Linked DNA regions of Struthio camelus. The protein of the gene in region 1 binds, or shares a complex with, the protein of each later gene. Links are inferred from orthologs where the notes say so. Each region holds a gene or a part of one and is shown on either strand. Other genes may lie near its edges. The genes, in order: YWHAZ, CFTR, ITGA4 and MAP3K5.

Evidence for each region.
Region 2: the proteins of YWHAZ (region 1) and CFTR are in contact, whole or in part, in a crystal structure (PDB 5D2D), measured with the Homo sapiens proteins. The link is inferred for Struthio camelus from reciprocal best matches to the Homo sapiens genes YWHAZ and CFTR. Residues at the interface, in NP_001129171.1 of Homo sapiens: Asn38, Arg41, Asn42, Ser45, Val46, Lys49, Arg56, Arg60, Glu113, Phe117, Lys120, Arg127, Tyr128, Glu131, His164, Pro165, Ile166, Gly169, Leu172, Asn173, Val176, Glu180, Ile217, Leu220, Asp223, Asn224, Thr226, Leu227, Trp228; in NP_000483.3 of Homo sapiens: Arg764, Arg765, Arg766, Gln767, Ser768, Val769, Leu770, Asn771, Leu772, Met773, Thr774.
Region 3: the proteins of YWHAZ (region 1) and ITGA4 are in contact, whole or in part, in a crystal structure (PDB 4HKC), measured with the Homo sapiens proteins. The link is inferred for Struthio camelus from reciprocal best matches to the Homo sapiens genes YWHAZ and ITGA4. Residues at the interface, in NP_001129171.1 of Homo sapiens: Lys49, Arg56, Lys120, Arg127, Tyr128, Glu131, Gly169, Leu172, Asn173, Val176, Tyr179, Glu180, Ile217, Leu220, Asn224, Leu227, Trp228; in NP_000876.3 of Homo sapiens: Arg1007, Gln1008, Tyr1009, Lys1010, Ser1011, Ile1012, Leu1013.
Region 4: the proteins of YWHAZ (region 1) and MAP3K5 are in contact, whole or in part, in a crystal structure (PDB 6EJL), measured with the Homo sapiens proteins. The link is inferred for Struthio camelus from reciprocal best matches to the Homo sapiens genes YWHAZ and MAP3K5. Residues at the interface, in NP_001129171.1 of Homo sapiens: Val46, Lys49, Asn50, Arg56, Lys120, Arg127, Tyr128, Glu131, Gly169, Leu172, Asn173, Val176, Tyr179, Glu180, Ile217, Leu220, Asp223, Asn224, Leu227, Trp228; in NP_005914.1 of Homo sapiens: Ser964, Ile965, Ser966, Leu967, Pro968, Val969.

The regions. Positions count from the first base shown.
Region 1 is NC_090943.1:146,168,223-146,175,545, forward strand, and holds the start of YWHAZ (14-3-3 protein zeta/delta), read left to right. Parts: upstream 1-4,309; 5' UTR 4,310-4,596; intron 4,597-7,102; 5' UTR 7,103-7,112; coding exon 7,113-7,323.
Region 2 is NC_090942.1:28,687,582-28,694,618, forward strand, and holds the start of CFTR (cystic fibrosis transmembrane conductance regulator), read right to left. Parts: upstream 3,009-7,037; 5' UTR 2,831-3,008; coding exon 2,778-2,830; intron 1-2,777. UniProt on the Homo sapiens protein: Epithelial ion channel that plays an important role in the regulation of epithelial ion and water transport and fluid homeostasis. Mediates the transport of chloride ions across the cell membrane.
Region 3 is NC_090947.1:18,678,720-18,685,806, reverse strand, and holds the start of ITGA4 (integrin alpha-4), read left to right. Parts: upstream 1-4,073; coding exon 4,074-4,288; intron 4,289-4,654; coding exon 4,655-4,776; intron 4,777-7,087. UniProt on the Homo sapiens protein: Integrins alpha-4/beta-1 (VLA-4) and alpha-4/beta-7 are receptors for fibronectin. They recognize one or more domains within the alternatively spliced CS-1 and CS-5 regions of fibronectin. They are also receptors for VCAM1.
Region 4 is NC_090944.1:74,131,206-74,138,312, forward strand, and holds the start of MAP3K5 (mitogen-activated protein kinase kinase kinase 5), read right to left. Parts: upstream 3,007-7,107; 5' UTR 2,857-3,006; coding exon 2,427-2,856; intron 1-2,426. UniProt on the Homo sapiens protein: Serine/threonine kinase which acts as an essential component of the MAP kinase signal transduction pathway. Plays an important role in the cascades of cellular responses evoked by changes in the environment.

The DNA.
Region 1 (7,323 bases):
CTTCCTTGCTACCCACCCACTTTTAATTGGATATGGTTAGGCAGAGGGAGGAATAACTAAATACCTACGGGAGAAAAGATGAGAGAGAAGAAAGAACTAAATGCTGCTTTAGGAGGGGGAAAGAAAGGTATCTGCGGTCATTTTCTTTTCTTTCCCTTCACTTCTTCCTCTCATAGAAAAAGAAAATACAGTGAAAAGCAATGTACATAAATATACATATATATACTTTTATATGGAAATGTGTCTAGCTCTGCAAATGAGTTTTTGCTTCTAGATGTTGAGAAGCATGCCTGACAGTCTGAGATAGTGAAAGTGCAAGTCATCGAACAAAAAGCTGTGTGGAAAGCAGCAGAGAAAATGCATCTGAAGAAAAGGGAAACTGCTCAAAGCTTATCTTTTCAAGAGCCTAATTCTTTGGTCAAAACTGCAATAAGCAAGACAAAACACAACATTCCTCACTGGGGAAAAAGTGCAGGAAACATAAGAATAGAAGACAGCAGGCGAGTATCTGTTCGAGAAACAGCATATGCAAAGGTGAGTAATGTCTAATTCCTTGGATCTGTTTCAAATGGCAGCTGTTTATGAAATCCAGAGAAGTGGAAATGGTGTTTGGCAAAAATAGCCTACTTAAAGGAGAATGAGTGCAGATTCTGTTGACATATGGGGCTGTTAGCAAACAAAAACTCTGGTTAGTGGCAATTAAGGTTGTTGCGGGAGACCTTCCATTCACTCCAAAAACAGAAATAACGGAAAGAGGTGAACGGAAAGACTGATGTTTTTCTCCCACAAAACTATTAATGCTGCCTACAGTATTATCAACAGCCTAATTCACAAGGTTTTCACCTATATTTCCACAAGATAGCAAAAAGCAATAGATACCTATGCTTCCTCTAACATATGCTCCAGTGCAGATTCTTTATATACTTTTAAGAATTATTATTTTTCCTGCATCCATTCGTTTTTCAACATGCTACCACAAAATATTTCAAGTAGCACTCAAAACATAAAGTCTATATTTGGGCTGATGCCATTTCAGTGAGACTTTTCTGCAAAATAAAGGTTTAAAGCTTATGTTAAAAATGAACTCTGTAACATAACTTCAAGCTAGTTGCAGCAAATGCTGTGCCATGGTACCATCTGTGTTCAAGTACAGCTCTCATCCTATTGCTTCCTAAAGTGAAAAATAATGATAAAAAACAAAACTGGATCAGATGAAGAACTGCGTATTGGAATATATTATGAACCTGAGCCTTACGATGTTTGCTACAGAAATGAACTCCCCTTTATCTCCATAGCCCTACAAAGTTATCATCGTGGAAACAAAAAGGTTGTATTTTTCACATTTAAATTAAGCAACAATGATTTGCTCACCTGACACAGCTAGGAAATTCTGGTGAGCTCTGTTCTACCTGATATTGCCCACCACTCTGAATATTTTGCTTTTTTCAGCTCTCTTCACAGCTGTTCCAGAAATATTCCACAGGAAAATGAGTGAAATTCTCTAAACCCTGGAGTAAATGGAGGACACTAGAATTGATGAGAAAGCTAAAGAATACCCCACTGTTCAATCAGTGTCTAAGATAACAGAAGTTTCTGGACAAAGCTTATACAGAAAAAAACGTACATTATGACAAACCTCAACATACCGCTTAGGCCATGAAAAGGGTAATAACAGATCCATAAATGCTACAAGCAAAATGCCACCACAGAAAATGTAACTGTTCTTTGCATGATACAATTTTAAAGTAAATTTTAAAGGTCCTATTCTGACAAAGCCAAGCTTGTCAGGAGGAACTTAAAACGAAGCCTTTCTGATATTTAGTCAAAGCACAGGAGAGTCATTTTGAAGATTGAGAAATAAAATCCCCATTTTTGTGTGATTTTATCACATTCTGAGGCCTACAGCCATTTTACCGGTTCAGGGAGAAAGACAAGGAGCAGGCCAAGAAGCTACCTGGGAGTGCATAGATGGAAAATACATAGAAAAAGACACGCAGGAAAGACTAGGAGGCATAACACATAAGGCAGTAAGTTTGCAGAACCTCTTCATACTGTTTTCTCCTGTACCATATCAACCTGTTCCTCACAAGGAATAGGTCACTCGTCAAGAATACCAATATATTTATAGCTTCCTCTTTCTTTCTCACAAGCAAGTACCTCACTCTTCCTATGTTATTCCCACATACTGTCCAACCGACAGATTTTTTTGACTCTGTCTACACAAATATTTGTCCACGCTGTGTTTTGGCTATTTCTGCATGAGTTGTTCTTAATGAATAGTCAAATTCAATAGTCAAGTTACTCAAAAAGCTACTGCTGCCTGATTTCCAGTTACTGCTCCCCCGCTGAGACACTGTAGCCAACCATGTAACCATGATTTCAGGGTTTATATCTTGCATTAAAAAGGAATAAGGTGGAGCGCTTACTGGAATCTCCCACAAATACAAGAGCTTGAAATAAGTCCGTAAGAGGGAATCTCCCTCTCCCAGTGAAGATGTTCATATTCCATCACACTATCAGATGCTAGATAAATCTGTATCACAAAGTCTTCCCATCCCCTGTGTTGTAACTGACCATTTGCAAAGAGCAGATGCTTCCTCTGTCTTCCCCTGAAGGCATATCAACCACAGATGACCACAAAGTGCAGCATCCTGAAATTGTTCCCTAGCTCAGGCTACTGTTCACACACCAAATTTCTGTTCAGGCATCTCAGTTGCTTCCAATCAGATCCCAATGTCAAACTGAACTCTTTATCTCTAACTCTGTGAGACAGTGCTGATCTCAAAGTCCAGAAGAAAGTGTACAGGAGCTTAAGACACGACATACTTGAGGCAGAGAATCAAGCCAGGGCACTCTTCCAACAGAAGTCAAGTGAATACAGGCTTCTACCACCTTCAGGAAACACTTCAAAACTCTTCTTTCCCAGCAACAGCTATATTCATTAATACGTTTCCTACTCCTTTCAGCACCTTCTCATCACCTTTTGCATAGTGCTGGCCAAAATGCCTGGAGAAGCTTGCGAGGGGAGAGCTTGGCATCCATGGTCTGCTCCCACACCAGTGTCCCCCAGGGCCCTGCCATGACTCCTGGGCTCCTCCCAGCAACCGAGGGTGCCCTCCAGGCCCCTCCGAGCCACGGCCTGCGCTGCATCTGCCGATGTGAACCTCCAACCCCCTCCCCGCTCCTGCTTCAGGATCTGGGTCCCCGCACCCGGTTCCGTTTGCCGCTCAGCGCCAGCAGGCCCTTACAGGGACCTGCCCTCCATTTTGTACCCCCAAGCACACCCTTCGATCCTGCCTCCGTCAGAGCAGCTCTCAATCACGATGCTGCAGTGAAAAAGGTGGCAGAAACTCGGAGAAAACTGGGGAGGGGGGGAAGGGCCTTGCACATTTTTGCGTTTTTCATTTTAATTGGAAAATCTCAGACCCCACAGCCAAGCGTGGAAAACACAGAGCTGAGGCGATGGGTCAGTCCCTGGGCGTGGTAAACGAAGAGCCCCGACACGCACCCGCCTCAACACTGCCGCCCCCTCCCTTCCGGGGCGAGGGGCCCCCACGCGAGCCCACCTCAACACTGCCGCCCCCTCCCTTCCGGGGCGAGGGGCCCCCACGCGAGCCCACCTCAACACTGCCATCCCCCCTCCGGGGCGAGGGGCCCCCACGCGAGCCCACCTCAACACTGCCATCCCCCCCCCGGGGCGAGGGGCCCCCACGCGAGCCCACCTCAACACTGCCATCCCCCCCCCGGGGCGAGGGGCCCCCACGCGAGCCCACCTCAACACTGCCGCCCCCCCCCCGGGGCGAGGGGCCCCCACGCGAGCCCACCTCAACACTGCCATCCCCCCCGGGGCGAGGGGCCCCCACGCGAGCCCACCTCAACACTGCCATCCCCCCCCGGGGCGAGGGGCCCCCACGCGAGCCCACCTCAACACTGCCATCCCCCCCCTGGGGCGAGGGGCCCCCACGCGAGCCCGCCTCAGCGCTGCCGCCCTCCCGCCCCGTTTCCACCCAGGCCCGGGACAGCTCCGCCGCCGCCCCCCGCCTCCGTGGCCTGCGGGCAGAGCCACCGCGACGGCGACCGCGGCCCCGCCGGGGGGCGGGCCTGCCCGGCCGGCCCTGCCCCAGCCGTGGCGGGGTGAGAGGCCCGGGCTGGCGGAGGGGCGGCGCCCCGGCCCGGCCCTGCGGCAGCGAGGACGAGCCCCCCTGACGGGCTCGCTCGGCCTCTGCAGTCACAGGGAGGGAAGGAGGAAGGCGCGCGCCCGCGGGAGGAGCCGCCGGTTTTAGGCGTGGCCGCCGCTCCCCCCCCCCCCGCGCGCCCCCGCGCGCGCCGCCGGCGCCCGCGGCGGTCGGCGAGGCCTCCGCCCTGTGCAGGGAGCGCCGGGGGAGGCGCGGGCTCGCGCCCGCGCCCTCGCCGTTGCCATGGCCCCGCTTGACGTCACGGGCGGTGCGCTGCCCGTGCGTTGCGGCGCGGTGATTGGCGGAGACCCCGTGTGTGGCGCTGGGAGAGAGGCTGCAGCGAAGCGAGCCGCGAGACAGGCACAGTCCGCGCCGGCCGTCCGCCCCGAGACACTCGCCGCGTCGCTGCCGCCTCGCACAGGTAACGGGGCCCGCGGCGCCGCGCGGCCCCGCCTCCCGGCTCCCGCCCCGGCTGGCGGCCCCGGGCCCCGACCCCCGCGCGCCGAGGGAGGCGAGGCGGCCGGGGGGCAGCGCGCAGACCTCCCCCGCCCCCTCCGCCGGCCTCGCCGGTGGCGGCAGGGCGGCTCCCGCCGGGGCTCCGCGGGGAGGGGGCGGGCGAGCCGGAGCGGAGCGAGGCGGCCGCCGCGGCCCGCGCAGGTGAGGCCGCGGCTGCCCCTCCCTGCCCGGCCTCGCCCGCGAGGGAAGGGGGAAGGGGGGAGCCGTTGGGGGCGGCGGGTGGCGGAGGGGGTGGCAGGTGAGGGCCGCAGGGGCGGTGTCCCGCCCTTGGCGGGCGGGGGCGACCGCGCCGCCGCGCCCGCGCGGGAAGGGGAGGGGGTGTAACGCCTCCGCGGGGCGGGGGCGGGAGCGCGGCCCGCAGTGCGCGGGCGGCTGTCGCTGGGTGCGGTCTCCCGCCGGGAGCGCTGCCCGGGCGCGGAAGAGCCGCAGCGGCCGCCCCTCCGTCGGGCTCGCTTCCCTTCTCTCCGCCCTGCCCTCCTTCCTCCCCCATTCCCCCCCCCCCCGGGCGCCTTCCTCCGCCTCCCCCCCGCCCCACCGCGGCCGAGGGGGTCTCGCCGGGGCGTGCGAGGCTGGCCGCAGCCCCGCGGGCGGTAACGGCGGCTCCCCCGGAGCGGGGGCCGCCTCCCCCCTCGTCCTCCTCTTGGCCACTGGGGCGGCGGGGCCGGGCCGGCGGGCTTCCCCTCGGCCGGTCGCTGTCGGGGCGGAGACGCTGCATCTTCCTCCTCCGCCGCCGCCCCCCGGCGTTGGGCGGAGGTGAGTGGGATTAACGCGCACTGAAGTGGGCTGGGCTCCGACGCCAGTCCGCCATGACAAAGGCGGCAGCGAGGCGCTCGGTGTCTCCGCGGCGGGCGGATGCGGCGCGGGGCGGGGCTGTCCCCGAGCGTGCCTCCGCGCGGGGGGCCGCCCGCCCGGCTGCCCGCAGCACCATTTTATGCTGTCATCCAGCGTGCCGAGCGGCATCCTCCGGTCCTCGCCGCGCTTCAGAGCGGTCGTCTTCACCCATCAGAACCAAGGGCCGCTTGGCTGCCCGGAAGGGATACTGCCGTACCCGTCTGCGGGCAATGGGTAGCCCGGTGGCCAGATAAACTGGCGTTCAGACAAACATTCAAACCACGTTTGCCTTAGTCGCACCGGGTGGTGAAACAACCGTAGCCAAAACCTTTCTTTAAAATGGCTCCTTAACCCACTACTTATAGTGTGGTCAGGACTTCGGCACATGTTAGCAAACACTGTGGAACAGCCACTGAATTGCTGTGTGCCAGCGTTGGGGAGAGCAGCTGCTAAAACTTTCTCCTTTCAGGTGTCTAGGATGTTAAAACGTGCTTTGTTTGTCCTTAAATAGGAGGTACTGCAGTTAGTGCTTGTGGTAACTTTATGTAAAATGACCAAAGTTAAGCTACTGAATTATTATGTGTGAGGTTGCTAGTTGGAATGTATAGAAATAATGTAGCATATATCACCAGAATTGGTTCTCGTCTTAATAATAAAACCTTAAAGGAGGGTGTATTTCAAAGCACATAGTAAGGACCTGAAAAATGACTGGATCAAGATACATGAAAACTTGGGGGGTGAGGTAGGATTATCATGTCTTGAGGTACAAAAAAATATGTCGGTTATCTTCGTTTGGCAGAGCTTGGTTTAAAGAGTCTGGATGTGATACAGGCTATAAAGTATCTCAGCCAGCTCATGCTGTCTCAAAAGCTGATGTTCAAGTAATATTTTAAATAGTGAAGTCTCCTTGGGTCTGTGAAAGCATACCTAACCTCTCAGACTGAGGAGCACTGCCTAGGTGAGAGGATTTAACCTATTACCGTTTTGGGAAAGGAAGCTAACGTTGTCAAAGGGTGTACTCCTTGAAACTGCTTGAATATTTAGGGAGCTCTGACTTCTCAGCCTCCAGTGTTGGGTTTGATTTGCAGATCCCTATGGCTAGTCTTTCTGCACATAAATATAAGGTCCTGTTAAGGCACAGAGTTGTCTCATACTGTTTGACTAGCCTGTATTTTGTCTGTTCCTATGTTGTCAATCTTATTACCTTGATAATTAGATGCAGCTGATGCTGCATCTTTACTGCACTCATATGAGAAAACTGAGTGATGGCAAAGGACTGGGATTGTGCGTATGCTTGAGATAGGAGTGATCTGCTTTCAGTTCACATTTGGATGCTTATATTTGTAAACATTTAAAATAATATTCCTTTAAAAGTTAACGTTTCCTTAGAAGGAGGCAGTGACTTGAAGTCTTCAGCTCATGTATTTGAGCATTGGAGCTTGCCTGCTTTGTGTTCTAGATTTTGGTTGTACATTTCACAATTTCAGACTTCTTGGAAAACGGTTGCTCTGCATATGACATTAAAACATCTTTGTCCTTGATAAATGTCTGAATAATACCTCCCTGTTTTTCCTCTGTAGAAAGATCAGCATGGATAAAAATGAGCTGGTGCAGAAGGCCAAACTGGCTGAGCAAGCTGAAAGATATGATGACATGGCAAGTTGCATGAAGTCTGTGACTGAGCAAGGAGCTGAGTTGTCCAACGAAGAGAGGAATCTTCTCTCTGTTGCTTATAAAAATGTTGTAGGAGCCCGTAGGTCATCTTGGAGAGTCGTCTCAAGTATCGAGCAAAAGACGGAAG
Region 2 (7,037 bases), on another chromosome or scaffold:
CCCCATTCTGCATTTTAATATGTTCAAACATATCCCTAGCCTGAACAGGACATAGGATGAAGCAAGAGATCCTTGCCAATGGGCTTACAGATACTATTATCAGGGAGCTGATAACAGCTTGTGCAATATTAAATAATAATATTACATTTATCAGCAAGACTTTCCTGAAAAATAGTATTTTATTCTTTAGTGATACTTCCACTATAGTAACTTTCAACTTACTGCACTATATTCAGGTTTGTACTTTACAAATAGTTCCATAGCAACTACTAAAAAAGTTATTTCACTGAAGAAGTCCTCAGTGTTGCACTTGAAAACAACTATTTAATCATTATTGGAAAAAGTAATATCTTTTTTCCAGACATAACTTTTTCTTTTTTTTAAGAACTGACTACCTCTTTCTGATAGAATGCTCATGACTTCTGTATCTCACACAGTTTAATGGAACTAAAGCTCATGCTTAAATGTGGGCATGTCCTGAAGTGCTTTGCTAAATATGATCAGTTTCAGAAACCAAGGACATGTGTAGGTTCAGTTAGAACACTAACAAAATAATCTGACATTTCACAAAACCTTGATCCAATCTAATTCATTAACCACAATTTCGTGGATGTTTCCAGCTGACAGAACAGGTCTCTTTAGTTAGTGATACATAAGTAAATTCTTCTGACTTTATAAAGCTCATCACAAATAATATATTTTTAAGTTTTGTAAAATCCTCATACTTGATAAATGTTTGCTCTGTTATAATTTACCTTCTAATAATTTTTAACATTGATCCTGATATTAATTTGATGAGATGGAAATTCTGAGTCAGTGAGGAATGAATGCAAATATTTTAAAACACGCTCATATGTTTCACAGCTACAAATAATTCATTTTTCCAAAGAGTTTTTTTTAAGAGAAAGACATTCTTGATGCAAATTGGGATGTAATATTTTTTATCTTGTGGTTTTCACTTTTGTGATCTTTGCAAATATTTCATATAATAATTCTGAACAGAGATATTTTACCAATATACATGGTAAAATGCAAGTAAATTTTATAATTCACAGAAGCATATCATGTTGGATTCTTTATAGAAGTCTATATATAATTTTGTCTATTCTTACCCAGTGAACTGAATGCTTACTTTAATAGCTTGTTTCTTCTTTGAAGCAATATTATCATAAAGTTTTGCACAGAAACTCTTCTGTTCTAGTCAATATTCACCATAAATATCTCTTTTCTTGATATATTTATTATCATAATATTATCATAAGACAGTATAATATCACACATCACGCATGATACGCATGATTCAAACCTCACTTAATTGACATAAAGACTCAGACTCAAGGTTAATGAGCATGAGTTGCATCTGCTTTTGGACATGGGAATTTTAATTAAGGTAAGAATCAGCAATATATTTTATTGGGAATTTTGCCTGACATCTTTAGCATCACAAGTTCTAGGACAGCATGCTGCTATAAGCTGCAAAATAAATAAAATGAAATCGAACAAATGATTCCACGAGCAACAAAGTTAATATGTTGCCTTATTTCCTACAGATTTGAATCTTACACTTGACTGGAGCACCAACTGAAGCTTTTCTATGGAGAATTTATAAGGGCTCACTCCCACTAATCCACACTCTCTGGGTCTAAGAGCATTTGAGTACAGGTACAGCTTCTTTCACATTGCAGCATCTGTAGAGGACACTGACAGGAGTCTCCTTCAGCTGGGCATTTCACAAAACTTGAGAAACTGGTTGTGTTTGGGATCCTTCACAGCTATCTCATCTGGCTGAAATGAACGGTCAAAGGAATCAAAGGGGAGCAGGCAAGCAAACAGAATAATTCATAAAGAGCCACTTCTTAAGAAACTAAGAAAAAAAAAGTCCAAATCTATGCCAATCTGCTGAAAAGGGAAGTTATCCCAAAAGCTTTAGAAAGTGAGTTAAAAGCCCTCAGTTAGTATCTCAGCCAAGAACCTCGTGCCAATGTTATGGTTTTCTATCACGTGTCCTCACTTCAGTCACCATGGCCATGTTTCATGTAAGATTTCCTCCCTCCCTTAGGTGTTGCATGAAAGACCCTCACGTAACAAAAGGGGAAGCCGGCTCCCTTGGAAAACAGCAAAACTGACACATGGGTCAGAAAGATCATTTGTTCCTTCCAGCTGGTAGTGTTATTTCCAACAATATCATGTAAAACATTTTCAGGCTTCTGAATTGTCTTATGAACTGTGTGGTGCACAGGCATTGGGGTATTGGCTCCTTCTCCTCTTTTTCTTGAAGTTGCAAGAAAGAAAAGATGCCAGGGACTTTACTCGTAAGGGAACACTTTCAAGGCTTACAAGGAACTATTTCCAGTAAGATCCTGTATTACATTCATATTGAACTGAAAAAAAATGGAAAGTCAAGGAGAAGGAACCCTTGCTTTCAGATCATTCACCCCCCCCCCCCGCCCCGTGATCTCACAGCTTGTAGTGAAATAACAAATTAAGTAGTTGAGCAATTTACCAAAGGTTGCTCAAATTGTGTCATAAATCAATTTGTCTAGGACCACTGACGGTTTATGACACCAAATAGATAGAGACCATTCCTAGTGCTAAAAACTAGAGGGAGAAAAAAAAGCCAGATAAGATCACATCACTTTTCGACAAGCAAGGCTCCCACTGCTCTCTTTGCAAACTGCTCTGGGGCTCCTTGGCGCCTAGCGAGCCCTCCGCCGGGCCAGGCAGCCCTGCGCCCGCGCCGCCCTCCCGGCCCGCACGTGCTCCGCCGAGGCTCCTACCTGAAGAAAAGTTTGGAGAAGATGTTCGCCTTCTCCAGGGGGGACCTCTGCATGGTGCCCGGGGCTGCCTCGGGGAGGCGCGGCGCGGCGCGGGGCTGGGCTGGGCTGGGCGCGGGGAACTGCCGGCCGCCGCTAATTGCTCACGCCTCGCTCGCTCCGCTCCCGCGGCTCTCCCACCTTATCCGCTCGGGCCGCTCTGATGTCATTGCCTGCCTCCTTCCCCTGCCCCTCTCCCCGCCTCTGCTTTGCCCAGGTTCAAAAGCAGGAGGGCTCGGGAGCCGGCCCGCGCACCACCGCCTCCTCCTCCGCCTCCTCCTTCCCAACCCCCCCGCCGCGCCCGGCACCCGCTGCCCGCCGCGCCGCGCACCCGGGCGCGCCCCGCGGCTCCCGGAGCTCCCCACTGTGCACGCACACACACACACACACACACACTCCTCCCCCGGCTCCTCGCTGGGTTTCGCGCTAGCCCATTAACTCTTCCTACCAACGCGGCTTGGCTGGGCCTCGCACACCCTGCGCTCCGGCGCCCTGCCAGCAGTCACTAACGCAGAGTCCCGCAGGACTGGCGGGGAGCCGGGCTGCGAGCCCCCTCCAGCCCGACCTCCCTCGCCCTTCAAGGAGGCGAATCGCCTTTCTAAACTGTGCCTTCTTCCTTTGCACCGGGGGCAGCGGGGAGCGGGCAGCGAGGAGACACCCCCCCCGAGCCCCCCAGGGGGACACGCTGCCCCCGCGCGCGCACCGTTGCCCGCCGCAGACCCAACCCGGAGCTCCCGAGCCACCTGCTTGCAAACCCGCAGCGAAACCTGCCGGTCCGCGAGAGGCGCGGGGGCGCCCTCTAAGACCGAAGGGAGCCTAAGCCTGGTTTAACGGGGTTTAACTTCTGTGCATGCCCAAAGCCCGAGTTATCCCACCGTTAGCGCCAGTATGGGGGAGAAACCCAACACAATCCCGCCTGAGGCTCCCCAGGACCCCTGTGCGAGGTCCTGCAAGACAGCTCTTAAAGGAGCGCCCTGGGCCATCGCGATGGCAGAGAGGGCGTGAGGGGCCCCATTCACGTGCGCCGCGCTGCTGGCCAACGCCGTCGCTGTGAAATGACTGAAACAAGCAATAGACAGCGGACAGGGAGCTCAGATAAGAATAAATGAGAACAGTGCGCACAACAACATTCACTTTAAAATACAGTTGCTGCAATTTTTCAAGTTTTCTCATAGGCACGACAACTTGAACGTAGAGGAATGGGAATTGAAGGTATATCCTCATAAAATTTAGCCCAAACACCGACGTTTAATAACAAAGCTGCTTCTGGAATTATGCGTGTAGTGTACAAACAAAATCCCTGCTTTCAAAGAGCATGCAGTAGAAAGCATGCTTAAAATAAAATAAAGATGACAATAAGCAGGAATAAGTTCTTCTGATCGTTTTAGTTCTGTATATAACTTACTCCTGTTTCATTTAACATTTTAATACGATATTTACACAGTTGCCTTTTACCTCTGTAATTAAAAAAGTATTAATGGAAAAGGTCATGCTTTCCTAAGCATACAACCGTTTCTGTCCACACTGGTTCTTTAAACGGGCAAACGTGATTCTTATGGTCTCAGAGCTTATGCTACGATTTAACTAGCTGTCACTCTTTGCAATCTTTGCGGCTATCTCTTCTTTTATTTCACATCACTGCTTCTCACTAGACCCCTCAGCGCCTTCATACAGAACTTCTCTTCGCCTTACAGTTTTTCCTCGCAGGCCGTGGGGAGCTCCTAGGTGCCCCCTCGCACCGCTCCGGCGGTGCTCAGCGGCGGAGGCGCGCGGCTCCGCAGCGGGAGCCGAGCGGCGCCGCAGCGGGAGCTCTCCGGCATCCTGCCACCTAGCGGAGCCCGCCGCGCGGCCCGGGAGCCACGGGGCCCCGGCGGCACGGGCGCGGGGCTGCCGCACCGCAGCACCCCCGCCGCAGCGAACAGGGGAGCAGGCGGACGCTGCACCTCGAGGAGTTTGGCACCGGGCTCTAAGCTACTCGAAGGTACCTGCTCCCTTTCATATTTAAAGGTATGGATTTTCTCCTCGATTAAGCGGTGACAAATGGCAATCTAACTCCTCTGTATCCACTATGCTCAGTGACTAGCATACTCAACCAGAAAAGAGCGATTAGGATTCGAATCCCCCCTTTGCCTGACTTAAGGCAAGGCTGTGAATCCACATTTTTCCACCTCTCAAGGAAATTCCCCACTGGGCCCTAACACACAGATGATCGAAGTGGATCTCTTTCTCTGAAATTCTTTCACTGTTACAAAATAGTTAAATGCCAATTTAAAGACAGGCTGGAAAACAAGTCTTTTGAGCAACATAGAACTAGCCTGCTACAGACTCTTTCCCTTTCTAGCCCTTAGGTTTCTGGTGTGTTCAGATAAGGCAGAAACTGAGCAGGGGATTAGAAGGTTTTTTGTATTTTACATTAGAAAGTGAGGTATGTTAGCCATTTAAAACCTTTTGTGGATCAAGTCCAAATTGCTTAAAGTGTCAATGGCTAATGGAGTATTTTCCATAAAAGTCCTTGCTGCTATTATCACCAGAGCTGACTTAGGAGCATTTCCAGTAAATTTGGGACTAACAAAGATATCCCAGTAGTTATTGTTGATTTTTTAGCTCCAAATTCCACTGCCCTTCATATGTCAAGTTCTCTAAATCCCTAATTTTGAACATTTCTTCTCTAAACTTAAGACTATTTGACTAGTTTCTTAACTACCAGTTATCGCTATTTCAGCACCACCAAACCCCCAGGAGTGATTAGTTCCCTGCTCTCTGATCTGATAGTTTTGTATAGAACTCATGTGCTTCCATCTCACCTCACACAGTCACAAACTCTTAACTAGTTGTGCTTTTCAAATTTTCCACAAATAATTTCCTTGCCCTTTTTTTTTTCCCCCGAACTGAACATTCTGTAGTTTCAGAACAGCCATTATTCCTAATCTTCTCTGGGAGCTTGAACATATTCCAGCTGACATGAATGAGAAACTTGTCATTAGCATTTCTATGCGCAAGAATAAACCATGATATTTCTATTGTCTCTAGGGGCTGAAATACATCCAAATTTAGTATTATCTATGAATGTAATTAATGTGATCTTCCTTCACTTCCACAGAAATGCAATCTGATATGACAACAGCTACTTTATCCTTTAATTGTATCCACATCCACCATCTATCTGATTTTACTTCGAATTTTTGAAAAAAATGGAGTGAGCCTGTTGCAGAGTGAGGTGGCATGTGAACAGGAGAACAGGCAAAGCCTTATTTCCTTTGCCATCACTGCAGTAACTTTGGCTGCCATACTGCATCATTGCAGAAGTGCAATGATACCCCAGCCAAGTGAGAAACAACCTGCGGTAGGGAGTCTGAAGCCGCAGACATAGGAAACGGATCAGCTGCTCAGTTGCTGCCATGTTCACAGAAACTCAGAAGTGAGTTACACCTGGAGGCTGTACCGGCCTCTGTCCTGCCTTTGGTTACATGTTCCTATTCCCCTCCAGGACTACTGGACTGCATGTAAAGCAGTCAAGGTTCTGGTCTAACTGAAAACTCTACCATAGAGTGATTCATTTTCAGCAGGATCAGCACCCTGAACTAACTAGGAAGATAACTTACTCGGCACTACTGCCAAGATAAGTAAGAGTACAAACATACGTCAAGGGGCAAGAGAGGAGGAAGGCAAGGCAGGGGTAAGATCGACTTTAGCTGCCATGGAGTCACAAACTGAGTTTTCTAAGTAAAGCAGCACACTAGGGGTTTGGGGTTTTTTGATTTTTACCCAGCTGCTGATTTGCAAGTGTGGAGGAAAGTAATTCTATTTAAATACTTGATCCATTAGCCAACATCAGTGGACAAAGGGACAGAAAAGTCGTTAGTGGAAAGAGAAAGTATGACCACATAAGCATCATCATAGAAAACAAAAGCTAAGCAGCTGCCAAAAGTAACATTTACAGTCACTGATTTTTTGTTGCTGCTTAAAATGAAATAGGTTTTCTGCTCATTAGTCTCATAACTCTGATCTTCTGAAAAAATCCCTTAAAACATCCTTGGAGAAAAAATGGTTCTCTGGATAGGATAGGGAAAAAGAAAATAGGGATCAAGGTGACGTTTATTTTCTTTGATGGCTGAAGCAATCATATATAAAAATCAATTTCACTCTAACTCAACCCTCAAATATTTCAGAACCTTTAGTTAACTGGAAACTATTTTTAGTTGTAATGTTTCGTTCAACCCAAAA
Region 3 (7,087 bases), on another chromosome or scaffold:
TAATATGCTGAAATGGAAATTATTTGTAGGAAAGGATTGATTAAAGAAATCACTAATTTTCAAAGAAAACAGAACTAAATAATATTCTCTTTTCAAGTTCTCTGAACATAAATATTTACTTTTCATGTCAAAATAGCTGTTCGTGCCAAACATAAAACATTTGTTTTAAAAAGTGCAAAAAACATTGTAACTGTGCTGATCGAGACTTTAGCAATGGAAGATGTAGAGGGAGCAAATGAAAATACTCTTTGTGTGTATTTGAGATGGGAAAGTTGCAAAAGCTCAGCAATTCCTTTGGGATGGGAAAAGAGGTTTCTGCCCAGTCCTACTCAAAACTAATTATTTATGGTTGGGCCTGATCTCGCAGCTCGAAAATCTTACACAAAATTCTAAGAAAGAAAGAGGATATCCTATGCAGTTACCTCACACACACATACAATGATTAATTTCCAGTCTTCCTCTCCCATATCTTATCATTATAAATCAGAATGCAGTCACTAGTTATACCTCTTCTGAACTATAACGACCTATTATTTGCTTCTGCTGGTCAGGATGCCATAGCCTTTATCTGTATGACATCATTATAAATTTAAATATTGGGAAGTTATGTTGGAAAACCCATCCTTCACTTCACCAACATAAGCATACAATGGAATGAAAAACTTCCAAAAAACATCCCCTAAAAAGACATCATGTGAGTATAAAAATGTTACTTATTTTAAAGAAAATATTATTTATCAATTAACAAAAAAAGCTTCTTCCTCTTTAGCTGATTCGAACCAAAATCAGATCTCTGAAGAGAACAAAAGGATAACAATAAAAAAATACTCTTGTTAATATTAGCTTCTTCTTAGTGCCTTGGACACCTGTGCTTAATTATACTTGTCAGTGGACAATATATTCTACTCTTGCTGCAGAGGGAAGATGAGGTTTTCTTGCAGAGACTCTTCGGAGTAAATGTAAGGGTATATTTGCCTTCGCTAATTTCTCAGATGACAGCGTATGAGTAAAAGACTGCTATTATTGGGGGAAAAAAACTTACAGAACAACAAGAAACACTTCTGGTCAGATCAAACCCCCAAATTTTCCACATTTCAGTGGATCACAAAGGCTTAGAAAATTTCAGTTTGAAATAACAACATTTAGGTATTTAGACAGTCTCAAAATGAAACATTTCAACCTTTTCTAATTGGAACCGGAAATCACCTTGTGATCATTTTGATTTTGAATTGAGATTAGATCTGGAGACACTTTTCCGTAAACAGACACAGACTTTCATTATACCAAGGAGAACAAGGACAGGCACAGCTGGAAGCAAGTACGTTCATAAAGATTTTTAGGAATGCGTGCTTTCCCTTATATTTGCAACAGGGTGAAAACATTAATGTGATCAGCTACCCAAGTTACACAGGAACTTGATTTAATACACATGCCATCCAAATCAGGGAATCGAAAACGGAGTAGTATAGGTTATATAGAAAAAGAGCAAATGCAAGACTTTCACAACAATATGTTCTTCCTACAGTGACTTCCTTTCCCCCTAAAAGGCTCCCCCAGAACCATTGCTTTCCCCAAATTAAACAGCCTAGGGGAAGGCAAGGTTTGTTTCCTCAGTGACCTCCTTTCCTACTCCCTCCAAACTCAATGACATCTAACAAATGAAAAACTCAGCAGTTGTCATAATCTTGATACTCCTCTCCCGTCTTAGACCCAAAGTCAGAAAAAGCACTTGTGTCCTCTCAGAACAAAGGAAATGAGAGTATATTCATCTGGAAGGATGAAAGCCTCTCCACATTTTCTGATGAGATATAGATGCACATTAATAGAAATCTCCTACTAGAGATCCCTGGCTGATCAGGTGCTGATTGTGCCCCAGGGCCGGCTTCAGAAGGATTGCACGCCTCAGGTGAAGTCTCGTGCTGATTCCTAGGAGTCACACTTCAAAACTTCCATGGCAGCTACTCTGTGAAACAACAACTCTCAAGCTGACAAAAGGTTCTGCAAAAGCCATTATAGAGTCAAGAACGCACTCCATTTTATGGAATCTGTATTTTTCATTAGCCTATAGACGAATACAAAAAAATCAAACAGCTGCGCTTCAGGTATTTCTTAAATCAGAAGAACTTTAATATCTAAATACACTGTAAGGCTACTGGAAACGGAAGACATTGACTTACGCATAGAACACCACAGGCCGCAGTGTCTCTCTCCCCCCCAACTTGTCAGCGTGTCCATCTAGTCTTAAAGGTTGGGTCAAAAAGGCTGTTACAGCTATGCATTTGAAACTGGATTCAGATCAGTATCTCTTCAATCAAGCCACAAAACCTATCAACTATAGCAATTTTCAGCAGTAATAGTTTTGTCTCAGATGTATTAGCTACTGGCACATAAAATGCTCCACATACTAGTAGCAACTTAACAAAACTTCTGGCCATCTCCTATAATACAACTTTATTTTGAAGGGTATTTGCTTTTCATGGACAATATAAATGTAATTTCGTAGTTCAGCAATAACAATATAAAGTGGCCATTTCCTGGCAGCTAAAAGCATACTGGAGACTGAAGCAAAGCACAACATTCACACGAACCTAACTCCTACTTTTGTCTGATGCCGAAGCTGTTCAGCCAGTTAAATTATGGAAAATCCTCAACTTTTGAACTGATTTCTCTCTACATAACTTAATTTGCCATGAATGTGTCAACAGGAATTGCCTGTGTTATTACCAAAGAAATTACAATGTGACTTCATATTTCAATAGGGGAGACAATTATACCATCGCTATAAATAAATAAAGGTATTTAAGCTACAGAAACCACTCTATCAAAAACACTACATTTTTGATATTTGATGCAGCAGGGTATTAAGTCAGAAACAAAGCCTAAACACACAAAGAAAGAGGTAAGAGAAATGCAAAACAGCATCAAAATAATTGTAAAAATGGAATCATGGGACTTGTAGCCTTATCTGTAATTGATTATATTAATTGACACAAGGGCCCTGAACTATGTCAGTGAAACAGAACTCTTGGTAATAGTTTTAATGACTTCTGTTGAAAAGCCAAGCCAAAACACTGCATTCACAGTTTGATGAAGGAAGGAGAAGAATACTACTAATAGCTAATGCTGCGCTAAACAATACCTTCTGGAGGGAGGCAAGCAACTGAGACAGGCTGGTGATTAAACAGTTATCATTAAGGGGACTTCTCACAATGTCCTTAGTGTATGATTTCTTATATTCTGTTTTACCTGCTGTAATGTGTGCATGCTCCTTCATCATTCCCGCCATCCAACACAGTCCACAGCCCCATATCTGCCCCAGGCTTTATCCTGGCCAACACCTTCCTAAACCCAGGCATGAACTATCTTAATAAATAGTTCCTGTCCTTTGCTGTTAAAACCCAAGTTTTAGGACTCAAATACCACCTCACTACCAAAAGGAGAAGGCAAGAGAGATCCCCTCAATGCAACGGCAATGCAGAAAGACTTGCAACAGGGGGATGCTGGGAGCTTTTTAAATTTTTAAGGAGAATGTAAATCTGACCACACCATTTCCCTCAGAGAAGATGAGCCTCAGCTTTGGCTAGTGTTTCCATGCTGGCACTCAGGGGAGATACTTTTCAGGGAACAGGAAATTAAAGTAAATGGGCTCGGTTATTTCAGGGGCAGCTGGGATGGGAAAGTCAGCTACGACATTTTAGGGAAAGCCTGCTCTATTTCCCCCCCAACAACCACCACCACCACAACACTCACTCATCTTCTCAAGGCCTGCGCGGCCTCCTGGCCCGGGTCGGGGAGCTGGCCGGGCTCTGGCACAGGGGCGCCCGTGCCCCGCGGTCTTCGGGGCTGGCAGAGAGGGGGGGGGGAGGAGGGGACGACCCCGCGCTCCCCGGGACACGAGGGACCCTCCTCTCCTCGAGCAGGGCGGACGAGGGGAAGCCCCGCCCCGGCTCTGCCCTGCCCTGCCCCACCGCCAGCGGACGCGTCCCGGGCCAGGAGCTGGGCGCTGCCCTCTCGCCGAGCGCGAGCAGGAGGCAGCGGCGGGCGCCCGTCTCCCGGCCGGCCGGCCGGCAGCCATGCGGAGCGGCGGCGGGGGCGCGGCGCGGGGGGCTGCCCGCTGGGCCGCCCCGCCGCCGCCGCCGCTGCTGCTGCTGCTGCTGCTGCTCTGGCACGGCCTGCCCGCGGCGCGGCCCTACAACCTGGACACCCAGCACCCGCTGCTCTTCCAGGGCGGCAACGGGACCCTCTTCGGGTACTCGGTCCTCCTGCACCGCCACGGCGAGGACAGCTGGTGAGTCCTGCGCCCCCCCCCCACCACCACCACCGGGGGGCAGAGCCCAGCGGGGCAGCGAGGGGCGGCCGGCGCGGAGCCGGCTGAAGGCGCGGAGCCGGCTGAAGGCGCGGAGCCGGCGGCGGGCGCCCCCCGCTCGGCCGGGCTGGGGCGTTTGGCGCTGCTCTCGCTGCTGCTCCCTAGAGCCGGGCAGCCTCGTGGTGGGAAAGCGGGCAGCTCCGGCCGGCGGAGCGCTGGGGGCGTTTTTTCGTTGTGTCGCGTTCTCCCCCCCCCCCTCCCCCCGGGACGCGCCAGAAGTTTGCGCGGCCGCGGCGACCCGCGCGGGTCCGTCCCGCGCCTCCTCACGCCGCCGTTTCTGACCTCCAGGCTCGTCGCGGGCGCCCCCCGAGCGAGCTGGCCCGCCAACAGCTCCGTGGTCAACCCCGGTGCCATTTTCCGCTGCCGGATCGGGAGGAACCCCCGCGGGCGCTGCGAGCAGCTCCAGCTGGGTGAGTGGCGGCGCGAGCGCGGGCAGGGCCGCGCGCGCGGAGCGGAGCGGAGGGCAGCGGGCGCGGCGGGCTCACCCCTCCCCCCGCGGCCGTTTCTAACGGCCGTTTCTAACGGCCGAGCGGCCCAGCCCGGCCTGGTCCCGCCGCGCGCGCCTGCGGTTTGAATTCACCGCCTCGCGATGTTCCCCTGGTGTCATTTTGAGATTAAAGCAGTGTTTGCCTTTCACTAAGGGCAAGGTCAGTGCTGTTATCAAGTAATGGAGAAGGTGGCATCTCTTTCTACAGAGAGAAACGCAACAGAACTTGATGAGGGGAAACGCGCCTAATGTAACAGCTCCCATTCCCGTCCTGTTTTCTTTGGCATGTTTCAGCACCCGATTCAAAGCCCTCCTGAGATTTTCAGTTCTCCCTCTCTGTCTCATACTTTTCTTCAGAAAGCTACTTAGGCTTTCTAAGCAGAGCGCAAATGTAGCTAACTTAGGGAGGGAAGGTGGAAATCATCGCTTCTCTGCAAAGCATTCCTTTGTAGAAGCCACCCTAAAGCAACGGTGAAGCACAGCCACCTTGCAGATGGGTTCTTACCACCTGTAAATGTATTGATAAACTGAGTTTCAGGGGACCAAAGCTATTCATGACTGAGTCAAATTTGCTGGCTCCTGTATTTAACCTAATCTCTTCTCTCCACCTCCCCTGTCCTCATGCTTGTGAAGTACAGGCATCTTCCAAGTGTTTGATACTTGCTCAAAATGAGCATACTCTGCAACTGGTTGCCGTGAATGCATTGCTTTGGGCTCTGTTCTCATCCTCCTTGAATACAGTGCCGTTCAAACTCTATCCCTGTGCTACGCATAAAAAGTTTCCTGAACTTTCTCTTTTGCTCTAACTGAAACAGTCACTAGAGCCGGTAGAACTATGAACTTGCCACCCAGTAAAGATAAGAAGCACGGGAAAAGGTTTTCAAAATAGTTGAAACCAACAAAAATGATAAAGCACCATGGGCTGACTTACTTTCAGGCCAGAATACAAGACTTTACTGCAAAAATGTTAGGTCAAAACAATAATTTCTTTATGTAGCATTTAGAATTGATAAGTTCCATACAGTTTTTCCTGCAGCTAGAAATAAGATTTATTTTCATACTTAAGCTACAAAGAGCTAAGATACTTCGGTGGTGCTTTAGTTACATAGGTAAGAGATAAGCAGTTGCTTGTAGAAAGAACTGTAATTAAACATATTCCAGCCCAAGTGGTTCTCTTCTTGAGTAATTTCATTCCAATATTAGATCTATTGCGAAATGATGAAGAACTTTCTTCTTCAACCACTTGTCTATAACAGGAGGTTTGGAAAAGTGAAAGAAGTCAACTAAATGAGTGAAATAGCATGTGCTAAAAGGCATTAAATCCCTGGCTCTGGATTGGGGTAAAAATAGTATTGATTACGTGGGAGAAGAAAAAGAGGGAAAAGGTGCTAAAGTTTCAGGTTCTTTGAATACTACTGTAGCGCTGCAGTATTTCTTGAGTTATTAATTTAGCCAGTGGAGAAACCAAAGCTCTGACAAAGTAACTTGATGGCTTTTTCTCGGTTGTTTAGGGGATTCTAAATGAAATGGTGCAGTTGAAAATGTTTATGTGGTACCAAAGGCTTGGTTCAGTGAGTCTTCCGTCTCCGGATTTAGAGACTGCAGGTACACAGTGATGTTTACTATCTTGTTCAACCCTCTTAAAAACAGTTATACCGCAAGGAGAAACAGAAATGTTTGTTCCCTTACTGATAGGCGACTTCTTTATAACACCAAGGTAGTTCTGTGATATACCTGAAGTTAAGTAGATACTTAAAATAAATGTTCTATTATAAAGTGAGAAGTGAGGTCAATAAAAAAGCCAAACCACGTTGCAGTGCATGGGATGTAAATCAAGGAGAGGACGGTGTCAGGGTTTGGTTAAGCCTCTGTCATCATGCTGAGTAGTCACAGAATTACACAAGGGGACTTTGAATTGCAAAGTTAAACTTAATCTCTTATCTAACTCATTCAGACTGTCAGCAGCTTTTGGACATAATGGTTTTATCAACACTATGTCTTTCAATCAGTGATCTCCTTGTTCTTCTGCTTGGATTTTTGACAATGACAAGTTTGGGTTCTGATCTCTTAGAAGAGAGTAATTTCCTTTGAAAAATGGGCAGGGATATATTATGTTGCTGGGACGGGAATTCAGAAATAGCCATGTTTATCTTCCTCTTAAATACCTGAATTCACATCTTTTTTCCATGTAATAAGTTTCTAGTAATGAGTTACAGAAATGTAAAGGTGATAAC
Region 4 (7,107 bases), on another chromosome or scaffold:
TGCTCTCTATTTGCATTCTTCAGCTGACATAGCCTCTACTTTTTAACGCTGTCTTGTTCCTAAAATGATAGTTATTTTTTACTAGCTTAAACTTTCCAGAGAACAACTAGTTCTTAGAAATACGTACTGTACATAAAATGTGGCAGGAATAAGGAAACAAGTACGAAAACATTCAGATCTTTCTAGATCCAAGTTCCAACTTCAAAGTCAACAGCACAAAACAGTTTTTGGATCACAGCTGGTTCATGACTCCTCGGCTCAGAAGGTATGGAGTATACTGGAAGCAGATACAAACTCGTTCTCGTGTCCTGCTCTTTTCAGCCCATGATCTGGATGTGTCTCTCAGTTTTTTGCATATTTATTAGGCTTAGCTACTAAAGCACAATGGCAAGGTATTTTTCCTGTTTTGCAACACTTTGATTAAGTTCCCATAACCAAGCAGTACTGAAAGAAAAAGCAATGTTTTCAATGTTAAACAGCTTGCTCAAAAGCCATTGAAATAAGCAATGTTATATTACATAAGCGTGCAGTTATGCAGTGTTATATGCCAGACGCCTACTGGCAGAATTCAAGGGGCCCACTTTCAAGTCAAATCTCCCGTTACAAGAAAAGCCTCTGTGAACTACCGAGACCCAAACCGCTGTAGAGTCCAGAGTGTAAAAACTAACAAACATACGAGGCACGCACACACAAAAAAAAAAAAAAAACAAGACACAGATAACCCAACCGTGTGAGCGTGTTATGATACCGCTTCCATGGTGAAACAAAATGAGACCCTCAGGTTTTAACTGCCCACCAATTAACAAGTGTCAGAGTTAAAATCTGATCTCTCTACTCTGTACGGGGAGAGGGTAAGAGCTACACTGGAGCGCTATTTCTTCCCATTTCCATTCGCTAGCATAGCCCCTTCCACTTCTGAAAACATTAACTCTCAAGGCACAGTGCTGTCGGAGGTACAAGACAAGCAGCTACACACTCCAAAACCGTCCGTCTCTCACTGAACTGAAAGCAGTAGTCCAGGAGACAAAGCTTCTGCAGTTTCAAAGAAGTAACATGCATATGCATGTTCATGCTGAAAGAATCTTCTGTGGAAACGGCCTACAACCCAGCTAGATTCTTTTCTTTCTTTTTCCCTCCCTCCTCCAAGACGGGAGGGAACTCCTGTATTAGCCAAAACTTTTAAAGTGCCCATTTGCCAGTGTATTCCACACACACAAAAACACACCATACAGTAGGCTTAGAATTCTGGGTCAAGTCAAGTTGCTGCTTCTATTTTTTTAAGGCAGGAAAACATTCATTCGGTAGTATAATTTTTCAAGTCTTTACAAATCTAGTAAGCAGCTGTTTTTATTCTCCATTCATTTTATGTATCTGCTAACAAAAAGAGAAATACAACAGTAGGAAGCTTCGGGCTATTATTTAAAAAATAGGGCCAGGTAAATCATAACAGATAATCTAGGGTCACCATGGTTTCAAATTAAGGAGCTGCAATTGTATGTTTATGAAAGCAGGCAGACGGGTGAGAGGATGCAGCACAGGGATGTTGTTGCCAGCTGACTGGATCAAGGCACTTTGTTCTACCCCATCCATCATAAACGTTGTATGCAACCAATATTTGAAGTACGAACTTCCAGGCACAAAAAACACACAGAGTGTCCCAATTACGCTGAACCTACTGCACAAAGCTGCCGAGCCCTTGCAGCACCTAGGCACTTCAACCGCAGCTCAGCACTTCAGCAAAAACCTGCCCCTCCCCCCCGCGTTTTTTTATGGTGATCGAGAAAAAGCGGTCAGGTCCTGCTTTATGCATAGGTTAAAAAAAAAAATGTACAAGTTCTTGCAGTCCTGACAACTGCTGATTCACAGCACGCTTGCTGACACGGAGTTTCTTCTCCAAAACACGTTGGCGGCGGGGGGGAAGCACTTGGCATACTTTGGCAGCAGCGAAGGGCCCGGGGGGAGCCGCGGCACCGCGGCTCGGCGCCAGCCCAGCGCCCAGCACCGCAGGGGCGGCCGGGGGTCACCGCCGCGTTTGGGGCGAAGGGGGGGACGAGCCCCCCCGCCCCCGGCTCCCACCCCACCGGCGCGCAGCGTTCCCGGCAGCGGCAGCCCCGGGGCCGCTGCGCCGAGGGCTCGGCGACCCGAGCTGACCCCGGGGGAAGGGGAGGGCGGCGCCGGCTGCCGCCGCTCCTCGGGGAGCCCCGGGCAGCCCCGGGCTCGCCGGGCCCCTCCCGCCAGGCGGCAGCGGGAAGGGGGGCGGTGCGGGGCCGCCGCGAGGCCTCGGCCGGAGCCGCCCGGGAAGCGGCGAGCCGAGCCGAGCCGAGCCGAGCCGAGCCGCGCCGCGGCGGTAAGGCAGGAGGGACGGCGGGGAGCGGCGATAGTAGATCGGGCGGGCGGGGAAGGGGGGGGAAGGAGGGGGGTCTCACCTGCGTTGTAGAAGCGGTCCAGCACCGCCGTCTCGCCGAAGTCCAGCTTGCCGAAGTGCAGCGTTTCCAGCGTGGCGCCCACCACCTCGCACGCCTCCCGCAGGCTCTGCAGGGCGCCGCTCTCCGCTGCCAGCAGCGGCCCCTGGCTCGCCTCGTTGATCACGTAGGTGACCGCCGTCCGCCTGCCGCCGCCGCCGCCGCCACCCTTGGCCCGGGCCGCGATGCCCGTGCCGGCGGGGCAGGCGGCGGCGGCGGCGCTCTCCTCGCCCCACAGGCTGCCGGCCGGCAGCGCGGCCAAGTCGGGCAGGAGGCTGCGGGCACCGCCGTCGGCCCCTTGCGCCCGCCTGCCGAGCCCTTCCTCGCAGGGGGGGCCGCCGCCCGCGGCGCTGGGCACCGACAGGCTGATGATCCCCTCGCTGCTGTCACTCATGGCCGCGGAGGAGCCGCCGCGGCGCGTCCCGGGCGCTGCTCCCGCGCGGGGCCGCGGTTAGGCGGATGCCATGCTGCGCCGCCTGCCCCGGCACGGTCCCGGCGCCCCTGCGCGCTGCTGCCGAGCTGCCGAAGGGGAGAGGCGGCCGGGCGCAAGTGAGGGGCTCCCCCTCAGAGGTTAGCGGAGGCTGCCGCAGGCAGGGAGACGAGCACAGCCTCCTCCGGCGCCGGCCCCCGGCACCATTGCGCGCCGCTCCCTTCTCCCCCGCCGCCGAGCGGCGTCACCTGCCGGGGCGGCCGGGCGAGCTCGGCCCGGCCCGGCAGCGCGGTCCTGCTGCCGCCGCCGCCGCCGCTGTCCCCCCGCGCCTCGGCCCCCAGCCTCTGCGGGCGGGCTCCGGGCGAAGTTGGTTGGCCGCCGGCAGGAACCACTTGTGGGATTGCTATTAGGCGTCCCCGATTTAGCCGAGCGACAGCTGCAAAGCTACTCGCGGCTCGGGCAGGGGCGGCCCGCAGCCACCAGACTCCTCCTCCCGCCCCGCCTCCGGCCAGAAATAAAGCAGCCCTGGCGGCGCTTTGGGCACTGGGGGCTCTTTGGCCAGTCGGGCGGGCGAGCTGTTCCGCGGCTCCGGGGAGCCCGGGGTGGGGGGCGCGGCGGCGGCAGCGGGTTTCGGTTAGGTCGGAACGGTGCTCGGAGCCGCTCAGGGCAGCGGTGGTTTTTGCCTCACGAGAGGGGAGGCGAGAGGGCCGGCGTCCCCCTTTGGAGGGGGGAGGGGGTGCCGGCGGCGGTTGGGGCCTCGCGCGTCCGCTTCCGGGCTCGCGCCAGGCGTGTGGTAACGGCCGGCGCGGGCGGTTGGGCGGGAGGGAGCAGAGGATGCCTGTCAGCCGGCGGCCCTTTCCCCGCTGTGTTCCGCAGAGCTTTATTTTTAATACCGCTTGTAAAAGGAGCCTGCGTCGGGCAGGGCGAGTGTGCTGCTGGGTTCGGGTTGTGCTTCCCCCCACGCTAACAGCCGCTGAGGTGAAGCCGGCCCCGACTTGCCTGAGGTTTTAATACGCGCTTTCACTTGCAGATGTTAGTTTTATGCAGGCAGGGGCTTATTTAAGTTAAACTAAGTCATGTGTAGTGACTCGGCATCAGCCTGATCCCGTGCTCTGAAAAACCGAAGGGAATTTTGGCCTTTACTTCAGGATAGTTCTTGTTGCCTTTTTTATTTTTTTTATGCACATCTTACTCCTAAACCCTGATAGTCTAGTTAAGTGAGTGGCTTTGCGTTTTGTGCAGTTAAGGGTTGTCAGGATTTAATAATCATTAACCCTTGTCTTCTACTCTTCTTCCTGTTTAAACTTTCCTCTCTTTGTGTTCCTGGATGGCCTCAAGTTGACTGAAGGTTTTGTGGCTGCCTGCAGCAGTACCCAGCTCATACTTCTTTTTAAAAGTGCCATACTGAAAAGCTACTCTGTATTTTGCTTAAATATATTGCATTGTTGTGTTCACCTGGAACTTGTCTTTCATGAACACTTTGGCATTTGATATTTAACAAATACTTCTTCATGGAAAAGCAAACTAATCTGAATAACTAGCATATCACCAAAAGAAGCGTTAATCTGGTGTAAGAGTCTTCCCAGTCAAGAAAGAAGAAAAGATCCCTTGATAGTTGAAGTAATATATATAATAAATAATATATAATATGAAAAACTTGCCTAAAACTTGCACATTGTTTGCAGGCCAGGAATGAATCGCTGAGAAATTCAAAATGGATTTGAAAAGGAAAGGAAGTTGAGAGTTTTTGCAGTCTGTTTCTGAACAAAAATACAGTGAAATCCTAATGATTGTTAGATTTTCTTTGGATTGGAGGAATTACATTAAGTAGATCCAGGAAAAGCATGGAGGAAAAATAGTGCTCTACATATTTATAGCTATGTTTGTTTGTATTATCAGTAAGTCCATCCCATTACAATTCATCTTGTTGAGACTAATCATCTTGTTGGCACTGAGCCTGTTCCTCTATCGTTGTTTTCCGTGACTGCTCTAGACAGAGGATCAATTCTGGAATAATTAAGAAAGATTAGTCACTGCAGTACCTTCAGTAGCCCTGTTTGCTTTTGCGTCGATCAGTCCTTTTTTCCAAAGAGATATGCCTGGCATTTGCTTCTGCTGATAACACATGGGTAAATGGGGTGAGAAGACGACGAGCAAACTAAAGACCAATTTACAGGTAGAAGTTAATATTTGTTAATCTGCCAGATACAGTAGGTTATTGTTTCTGGCTACAGTCAGGATGGCAATCAGTGTTTTTCTAAATAATGTAGTTTTCCACAAAACACAGAATCAGTGTTAATCCATTCAACGCTACAGTTGCATCACATTACAGGAAGCAAGAACAATATGTCTCTGTGGTGTTCTTTAGAACAGCCCATGTTTGTCAAGCGCAGAAGGAAGTCATGGACTGAAAGAAGGAAGAAGCATGCTAATTCACTTAGCGTTACTGACTTGTGAGCCTCACTTCATTACTAATGCCATATCCCTACCACGTTCAAGATAGCTCTATTGATTTGTCTGGGGTTGAGGCTGGGCCCTTAACTGAAAACAATTAAAACACTGATTAATATGGAATAGTAGACACAAATTGTCTATGCTTTTATAAAGGAAAAGCATATTTCTTTAATCTGCTAACTCCTTGAAGTGATGATTCATATGTTTAGGAGCTCTTCAATTTAGAAGTTTGATTAGAAGATGATCATTCAAAGGATTTTTTTTTTTTAAAACGGAAGTAGTATCCCGGTTGTTATCAGAAGTACGCTTAGCTTGTTCACTTTGTTTTCTGGGTGCTGTGCAACTAACATCTTTAGCACTAAGTATGGAATGTGGCCCTGCTTCCACTCTGATTTTTTCTGATGACAGAACTTTTAACAAGCAGTTAGATGTAAAATTGTTGAAATAAGAACCCTTTCTTCATTATATGCTTTTACAACCATAAATCATTGACCTCTGGATTTAACCAAATTATGATTTTCAACATCCAAGAATTTGGATGTTAGTTTCAAATATAAATGCAATTATTGGTAAGTGTCAAACAGTGTGTGACAGACATCAGAGATTTGATTTATTCACTCATACTAGTAATAACGAGACCCAAGTCAAAAAAGGGTAGTTTCCCTGAGCGTGTTCTGATTTACAGAAAGTAAACCTAAAATACATGTACAATGAAAAACGCTCTGTCCGACTTACGTTTTCAGTGTGATACGGCCTTCAACATCCAACAAGGCTGGCAGAAAAAAGATTCTAGAGTAACATGCCCGTTGAGTTTTCTTGATGGTTATTGGGTTTTAAAGCAGATGCTAAATTTCATCCATATTTTAAGACCCTCTTATTTAACTATACGACAGCATACAAAAATGAGAGATTAGAGATACGCTGTAAATTTTTCACTAATAAGCAGGAAAAAAGGAGTTTGCAAAACCAGAGTCCAATGTGCTTGAATTGTGGGTGGAAAACAGAGTATATAAAGAAACTTGCAGATGCAAAAATCCAAACAAGAGATCTTGAAAGTACACAAACTAATCCTGTTTCCATGAGCTTTAGAACAGAACTCTCACAAGCAAATAGATACGATCACTGAAATAAACAAATTGTTCTTAAAAGTTAAATCTTCTACCAAATGAAAGTTAAATATATCACTGTAGAAAATCAGAGGTATCCTTTATGTTCAATATGGAGAGGGCAGCATTTTGCTAGCAGAGTGCCAGCTGCCAAGTTTAAAAAGAATGGCAAATGCAGGATGGAACTAAACATTTAAAGCAGTTCTTAAGTACTAAGAAGCTGGAAAACAGAGACTGGTGGTCATTCTGCAGGGATGCAGTTGATCGTGTAACAGTAGTAATAGCATGATAAATTCACTTATCAAATGATGGCATGGCCCCCACAAATGGTAATCAGCTAAGACTGATGGAGCAACAAGGACACGTGGTGGGGGGTGGCTATTTCATCAGTTATTACTGGCCTTGAAGCCCGTGTATTGTGGAACGACAGACCAAGTGTAGTGAAAAATGTGCCCGTGGCAAGTCTCACGCTTCTTGCTAAATCTCCCTGTCTTTCTTCCTCCCTTCCAATGTGTTTCCCTCTTCTTACTTCTATTCTTTCAAATCCCCCAGGACAGCGTCCATGCTAACTGCCTTGTCCTTCTACTAACCTCGCTTTCCCCGTGTGACTCTGTATTCATTCCTGCAACCTCCTTTGCTTTCCCCTTTCCCCAAC